Anolis sagrei: one gene and its partner. The protein of the gene in region 1 purifies or fractionates together with the protein of each later gene. This does not show direct contact. Links are inferred from orthologs where the notes say so. Each region holds a gene or a part of one and is shown on either strand. Other genes may lie near its edges.

What was found.
Region 2: the proteins of RYK (region 1) and PCDH7 purify together in Homo sapiens (affinity purification with mass spectrometry; 3 studies listed by BioGRID and IntAct, with this or other methods). This does not show direct contact. The link is inferred for Anolis sagrei from reciprocal best matches to the Homo sapiens genes RYK and PCDH7.

The regions. Positions count from the first base shown.
Region 1 is NC_090023.1:225,882,631-225,886,535, forward strand, and holds the start of RYK (tyrosine-protein kinase RYK), read left to right. Parts: upstream 1-1,112; 5' UTR 1,113-1,406; coding exon 1,407-1,596; intron 1,597-3,905. UniProt on the Homo sapiens protein: May be a coreceptor along with FZD8 of Wnt proteins, such as WNT1, WNT3, WNT3A and WNT5A. Involved in neuron differentiation, axon guidance, corpus callosum establishment and neurite outgrowth.
Region 2 is NC_090025.1:115,071,684-115,075,588, forward strand, and holds the start of PCDH7 (protocadherin-7), read left to right. Parts: upstream 1-1,207; 5' UTR 1,208-3,006; coding exon 3,007-3,905.

The DNA of each region.
Region 1 (3,905 bases):
GGAATATATAGAAAGAAAAGACTGGTTAAGCTAAACGAAATAGGAGAAATAGAAAGAACATACAAGATGCTTTCTCTCTGGACATAAATAAACACCAAGGAGGGAAGAAGAAAAGAAATACAGAGGACTTAATAAAGTAAGAAGAATGGAGGTCACTATAGGGTGTAGGTTTTGTGGGTTGTTTGATGGGTTGTGTGTGTGGGTTGTGTTGTGAGTTGAGTGTGTTTTTGCTGCTGTTGTTTTTTTTCTTTCTCAATCTTTTTCGCCTTTTCCTTCTCTTTTCTTTCCCCCCTTTTCTCAATGTTGTTTTAATGTATACTTTGACAAAATTCAATAAAAATTACTGAACGAGAGTTGAACTTTTCCCATGCCTGAGCTAGACAGCCGAGAGAGCATCCCAGGCTCTTCCATTCCAAACAATGGACTTCTTCTTAGACTGGCTATGTGTTTGCGTAATTATATAATAATCATAACAACAACAACAACAACTTTATTTTTATACCCTGCCTACATCTCCCCGAAGGGATTCGCCCCGACTTACATGGGGCCAAGCCCAATCACATTGCATAAAAAATATGAAAGCATAAAAACAACATTATAACAATAGTAAGACTAACAGCCTGAGGCGGAAAAGGAAAAGGCCTAAGGCTGTTAGCAATGGTGGGAGTTGAAGTCCAAAAGGCCTGAGGCTCTTAGGAACGGTGGGAGTTGAAGTCCAAAACACCTGGAGGGCCCATGTTTGCCCATGCCTGATTTAGCACCACGCCCCTCATTCCTCAAAGTGGCTGAGGGAGAAAAGGAACAGGCCTGAGGCTGTTAGCAATGGTGGGAGTTGAAGTCCAAAACACCTGGAGGAAGGCCCAAGCTTGCCCATGCCTGATTTAGCACCACGCCCCTCATTCCTCACTGTACTGGCTAGGATTGATGGGAGCTGTAGTCCAACAAAATCTGCGAAAGAGTATCAATTTAACCCTCCACGATCCCAGCTGCAGAAAAATTGTCTCTCCAAAACTGGAAGGAAGAGAGAAGGGAGAAATATGACGTCACGAAGTTTGGACAGGAAGACGTTTCCCAGTGGCTCTTCTGCGCAAGCTCGGAGGCAGCGGCGAGTGACGCATGCGCACTGGCGTTCCGGCGCAGGGCTTCCCCCACCCTCCTCCCTATCGGCGCGCGACGGGTCTTGGCTCGCGCCTCGGCGGCGGTTAAAAAAAAAAAGATAATAAATAGAGAGGGCGCGCGCTCGCTCGCTCGCTCGTGTCCGGGGCGCGTCCTCGTGTTGTTGCCGAGGGAGGATGGCGCCGAGGAGGCCGGCGGGCCTGGGCGCAGGGGCGTCGCGCGGCGGGAGCACGAGGGCCTGCCCAGGAGCGTGAGGGGGGGGGGGCGCTCGGGCGGGAGCGAAGGGGGCGATGGTGCGGGGCGGCCAGGGCCATGGCAGCTTCCTCCGCCCCTTCGTGCTGCTCGCCGTCCTCTTGCCGCCGTGGCCCCCCGCGGGCGCCGAGACTCTGAGGGAGCCCCTCGAGGCGACCCTCGCCGCCGCCGCCATTGGGCCGGGCCTCAGCGTCTACATGAGCCAGGAGGAGGTGCGCCGCCTCATCGGTGAGTGAGCGAGGCTGTGTGAGGGGCGTGTTCGGGGATCCCTTCCCTCCGCCAGGCCCCGGAATCGCCAGGCCCTCTTTCAACCCATCGAGAAGGCCCAGGCGCAGCCCTGGGGGGATCATCAGCCCCTCCCCTCGCCCCTGGCACGGCCTTGGGAAAGCTCCCCAGCAGCAGTAGATCTTGAGCCTGGGTTGGAAAGCAGCAGCCAGGCACGTACGTGGCCTTGGAGGAATCGCCCCTTCCCTTTGCTTGAACTTTGCGCCTACAAAACATCCCGTCTTCTCCTTTCGTGAGAGTTAGACCCCTTCCACACAGCTGAAAAAAAATCGCACAATATCTGCTTTGAACTGTAGTATATGGCAGTGAGGACTCAGATAATCCAGTTCAAAGCAGATATTTCTACCTTGATATTCTGGCTTATATGGCTGTGTGGAAGGGCCCTTATTATTATTATTAAATTTTATTTGTACCCTGCTAGCATCTCCCGGCGCAGTGGGTTAAAGCACTGAGCTGCTGAGCTTGTTGATCGAAAGGTCGCAGGTTCGATTCCGAGGAGTGGCGTGAGCTTCCGCTGTCAACCCTAGCTTCTGCCAACCTAGCAGTTCGAAAACATGCAAAATGTGAGTAGATCAATAGGTACCGCTCCGGCGGGAAGGTAACGGCGCTCCATGCAGTCATGCCGGCCACATGACCTTGGAGGTGTCTACGGACAACGCTGGCTCTTCGGCTTAGAAATGGAGATGAGCACCACACCCCAGAGTCAGACATGACTGGACTTAATGTCAGGGGACTACCTTTACCTTTAGCATCTCCCGAAGGACTCGATGCGGCTTACAAAGGCCAAGGCCTCAACACAACAACAACAGACAATAACAATACGATGCAAAGCAAATTAAAAACATAAGCAATAACACAACAAAACATGACACTATTACGCAATAAAACCAGAGCCGGGCCAATGATGGGTATAGGTTAAAAAGTGCTGGGTGTGTGAGGTGGTATGTTGGAATTCTGGGCAAGTGCAATGTGCAGAGAGTCTTAAACTCTAATAAAGTGCTTCTGGGACGTAGTGCTGGAGGTTATCCTATTCTGGAAAGGCACATCGGAATAACCAGGTCTTCAAATTCTTCCTAAATACTGCCAACGTGGGTGCTAGTCTAATGTCTTTGGGGAGGGTGTTCCAAAGTCGGGGGGCAACCACAGAGAAGGCCCTGTCCCTCGTTCCCACCAAACGCGCCTGCGACACAGGTGGGATCGCGAGCAGGGCCTCTCCGGATGAACGAAGTGAGCTCATGGGTTCATAAACGGAGATGCAGTCACGCAAGTAGGCAGGTCCCAAACCGTTTAGGGCTTTGTAGGTAAAGCACCTGCACCTTGAATTGGGCTCGGTAGGTAAACGGCAGCCAATGCAGCTCCTTAAACAGGAGGGTTGACCTCTCTCTGAAAGGAGCGCCAGTTAACATCCTGGCCGCCGCCCGTTGAACCAGTTGGAATTTCCGAGCCGTTTTCAAGGGCAGCCCCACGTAGAGCGCATTGCAGTAGTCCAATCTGGAGGTCACCAAGGCATGGACCACCCCGGCCAGATCAGCCTTCGCGAGGTACGGTCGCAGTTGGCGCACGAGTCTCAATTGTGCGAAAGCCCTCCCAGACACCGCCAACGCCTGAGCCTCAAGCGTAAGCAATGAATCCAAGAGGACTCCCAAACTGCAGACCTGTGGCTTCAGGGGGAGTGTAACCCCGTCCAGCACAGGTTGCCACCCTATACCCAGGTCACGCAGCCCCACGTAGAGTGCATTACAGTAATCCAATCTAGAGGTGACCAAGGCATGGACCACCCCCGGCCCTTAGACTGATTTGCAAAGCAGGGAGGGGTCTTGTGGTCTCCTCCAACAATTTTCAGTGCTAATCATGGTGATTAATTGCAACATTCACACTTGCCTTTAACAGACAAGTTCTTTCTCCCACCCTGGACCTTCCACAGATTTATTTATTTACTTATTTATTTATTTACATTATTTCTATCCTGCCCTTATCAGCCCGGAGGCGGCTCAGTCGGCACAATTCGATACCATAAAATACATACATTGATAAAGCAAAAAGAAACATTACAATACATTTAAAAATCTGGAAACTATGTCCTCTCGTTCAAATACTCATCCGTTCCATCGTCTTGGTCGTTCCTGGGTCAATTTCCGATTCAAGTTTTGTCTGTTTAACCCGAGGTTCCGAATGCTTACTCAAAGAGCCAAGTTTTTACTCTTTTTCGAAAGGTCAGGAGGGAGGGGGCTGATCTAATATCCCTAGGCAGG
Region 2 (3,905 bases), on another chromosome or scaffold:
CTCGGAGAGGCAGACATAATAATAAGAGAGGCGCGCGCGGGCTCGAGCTCGAGCTCCCTCTCCGCGGCGGGGAGGAGGGAGGGGGGAGGGCGGCTCTTTCCGCAGCGCCTTTCTCAGCCGCTTCCAATACTCTTCGCCCTTTCCTGGGGTTTTCCAACCCTTCAGTCACGGCGGCGCTGTTTCTGCCCTGTCAAAGCAGTCTTCCAGTTAAAGGGGGGAAGAGGAAGAGGAGGAGGAGGAGGAGGAGAAAGAACAACTCTCCCCAATAAGGCTTTTTGCATTAAGTCAGCCCTTCTTCGCCTTCCTCCTCCTCTTCCTCCTCCGCAGCCAGCTGCCTCTTTCTCCCTCGCTGGGAGGGAGGGAGGGAGAAGCCAACAGGCGTTCCTTGCCCCCTCTTTAGAAAAAAAAGAGAGGGGGGAATGCCACTGGCGGCGGAACGCCTCAAAGTCAAAAGGAGAAAGTGGCGAGCTGAGGGAACAAGCCAAAGAGGACGGAGTTTTGGACCAGAGGAAGGGAAGAAAGTTGCTTTCAGAGGCAGGCGGGAGCCGGTTCTGCTTGACACGCGTCAGTCAGCCCCACAGCGCGGGAGAGAGAGAGAGAGAGACAGAGACAGAGACAGAGACAGAGGAAGGAATGAAATAGCGGGAGAGCCATCTCTCTAATCCAGGGATCTCCCCTCCCTGTAGACTCTCTTGTGTACAGGCTGGAGGTTCCTCTCCTTCTCCTTCTCCTCCTCCCTGGAGTTTGGATCTCTCTCGAGTCACTGCAGCTCTCCCTCTCTTCCTGTCTGTCACGACCCTCCGAAAGTGATGAGGGGAAACGTCAATAAAAGACTATGCAAAGCAGACTCCACATGACTCTCCCCCCTCCTTTTCCTCCTCAAAAAAAACACAAACCCTTCCCCCCGTTTGGACACATAGAAGACGTGGCTTCCCCTCTTTCAGCACCCGAGGAGTTTCTGACTGAAATATGGTGTTTGAAGCAAAGGAGGGAGGGGGAGAGGTTTTTAGCTGGGCTTTTGCTTTCTGCGTCGGCGGGAGGGAAAGAGAGAAGAGCCACCTCCGCCGCTGAGAGAGGCTTCCCATTCCCAAGCACTTTAGGACAAACTTGATGCTCCGCCGCTTTCTCCCCCTCCCCCCTCCCTTCTCTCTCTCCCCCCCCCTTTCTTTCTGCTTCCAGCGGCCAGGCGTCACGCTCGCGCTTTCCTCTGCTCCGCGGCGTGTGAGGGAGTGCGCGGGAGCGCGCCCGCGCGCGCGCCCCTGCAAGTGTGTGCCTCCCAGAGATTGAGCGAGAGAGGCTAGCGAGCTCCCTGCACCAACCAGCCGCACTTGAGCGAGGCGAGCCAGCAGAGACACAGAAAGAGAGAGAGAGGGAGAGAGAGGGAAAGCGAACAGCCACAACTGCGGCTCTCGTTCGGCTCTCCTTCGGCATTGCCTTTGATTACCAGCCATCATTCTTTTGGACACGCGTTGCGACGGATATAATCCAGCCCTTCACGTGGAGAGAAGACCCAGTCCCAGCTCTTTCCCTGCATCGATCAACGAGGAAGGAAGCTAGGGCTACTGGAAGCACGCCATCCTGACTCTTCTCCCCCTCCCCCGCAGCCGACCTTTGGGCTCACCTTTGGACCAGAGGGACACGGAAGGAGGGAGGGGAGGGGCTGAACTTGCCACCCCCTTTTTTACCTGCCTGGGACGGCGAGGGGAAGCCGCCAAAGCCGGAGCTTGGCACTCTCTCCTTGTCCCTGCTGCTGCTGCAGCCCCTTCCGCTGCCTCCAAGCCATGCAGGGTAAATGCAGGTAAGGCGCCCACGGACCCAACGCGCCCGTCCGCGCTCCCGCCTTCCCGCGCGCGCACACGCGCAGCCCAACTGCAGAGGCGACGGCAAACTTGGGACTCCGGCGTCGCGCGCGCGTGTGTGTGCTGTGTGTGCCTCCACGGCTGGGAAAGAGCTAGTAGCCAGCTCTCCATCCTTCCTTGCTTCCTTGCTTCCCTCTCCTCTTAGCCTTTCGGACTTTTCGGGACTAATGACCTTGCGCAGAGTTGATTTATTTTTGTATTCTTCTTCATATTTGACGAAAGACCTGCTCCTTTGCTGAGAAGGGACTGAAACGGACATCCCTGTGGATTTGGGCGCCATCCTGAGCATCGAAGGGGATTCCTAGAAGAGAACGAGAGGAGAAGAGAACGAGAGGAGAAAGAAACGTGTTCTCTCTCTCCCCCCCCCCCCCCCAACAGAGGCATTGGAGATGGGCTATTTGGTGCGGGAAAGGTTCTCTTTTTAATTCCATCGCCGGAGAAGTGGACTGGGAAGCCTGCCTGCTCTTCTTTCTTTCTTCCCTTCTCTCTCTCTCTCGGTCCTTTCCCCTCCACCGGACACCAGCCCGCTCTGAATGAAGCGATTGACATTCCCCCACTCCACCCCCTCCTCCTCGGCGGGTGTCTGCGGAGCGGAGAGGAGGAGGAGGAGGAGGAAAGAGCTGAAGCGACGGCGGTGAGCGAGAGAGAGGGAGGGAGAAGGAGAGGGAGAGCGCGCGCGAATTGGACTGGACTTGGGCGCGAGGCAGCCTTGCATCCCCTTCTTTCCTCGCCGCTGCTCCTCTTCCTTTTCTTGCCAACCTTGCAAAGTGATTACAGTACCATCCAAGGCGGAGGAGGAGGAGGAGGGAAGAGGGAGGAGGGAGGGAGGAGAAAGAGGCGGAACTGCCCCCTCCTTTCCTTTCCAAGCCTCTCCGCTGAGATGAATCTTTCCTCGAGCCAAAGCCGCTTTGCCCCGTGAACTGTGAGTATCGAAAGGAACGCGGGAGGAAAGCAAGAAGAAGAAGAGCCTCCCAGTGACAGCTCTGGACTCGATTGCTCTGATGCACCGCGAAGTTTCTCCTCCAAAGCAGGATTGTACGCGTTGATTTGCCTCCGCTTCCCCCCCCCCCCCTCCGGATTGCCAAAGGGACGTCTTCTCGGGTGCTTCTTCTCCTGCCTGGCTGGGAGGCTGAGGGCTCGGAGGAGGATGTGGCGGCTGCGCCGGCTGCCGGCCCTGGTGCGCTGCTGCGCCTGCTGGCTCCTTCTCCTGCTGCCTCCGCCGCTGGGGCTGGTGGTGCCGGCGTCGGCCAAGCAGGTGCTGCGCTACCGCCTGGCCGAGGAGGGCCCCGCCGACATCCGCATCGGCAACGTCGCCTCCGACCTGGGCATCGTCACCGGCTCGGGCGAGGTCACGTTCAGCCTCGAGTCCGGCGCCGACTACCTCAAGATCGACAACATGACGGGCGAGCTGAGCACCACCGAGCGCCGCATCGACCGCGAGAAGCTGCCGCAGTGCCAGATGATCTTCGACGAGAACGAGTGCTTCCTCGACTTCGAAGTCTCCGTCATCGGCCCTTCGCAGAGCTGGGTGGACCTCTTCGAAGGCCGGGTGGTCATCCTGGACATCAATGACAACACGCCGACCTTCCCGTCCCCAGTGCTGACGCTCACCGTGGAGGAGAACCGCCCCGTGGGCACTCTCTACCTCCTTCCCACCGCCACTGACCGCGACTTCGGGCGGAACGGAATCGAGCGCTATGAGCTGCTCCAAGAGCCCGGCGGTGGTGAGGGGCGGCGAGGCGCCTCAGACAAGAGGAGGCCCGAAGCAGAAGGAGGCGGAGGCTCCTCGACGGCCCGGAGCACCGTCTTCGAGCTGCAAGTTGCAGACACCCCCGACGGGGAGAAGCAGCCCCAGCTGATTGTCAAAGGGCCTTTGGATCGAGAGCAGCGCGACGCCTATGAGCTGAGCCTCCGCGTGCGTGACGGTGGAGACCCAGCTCGCTCTTCGCAGGCCCTGCTGAGGGTGCTGATCACCGACGTGAACGACAACAGCCCCCGCTTCGAGAAGAGCGTCTACGAGGCCGACTTGGCGGAGAACAGCAGCCC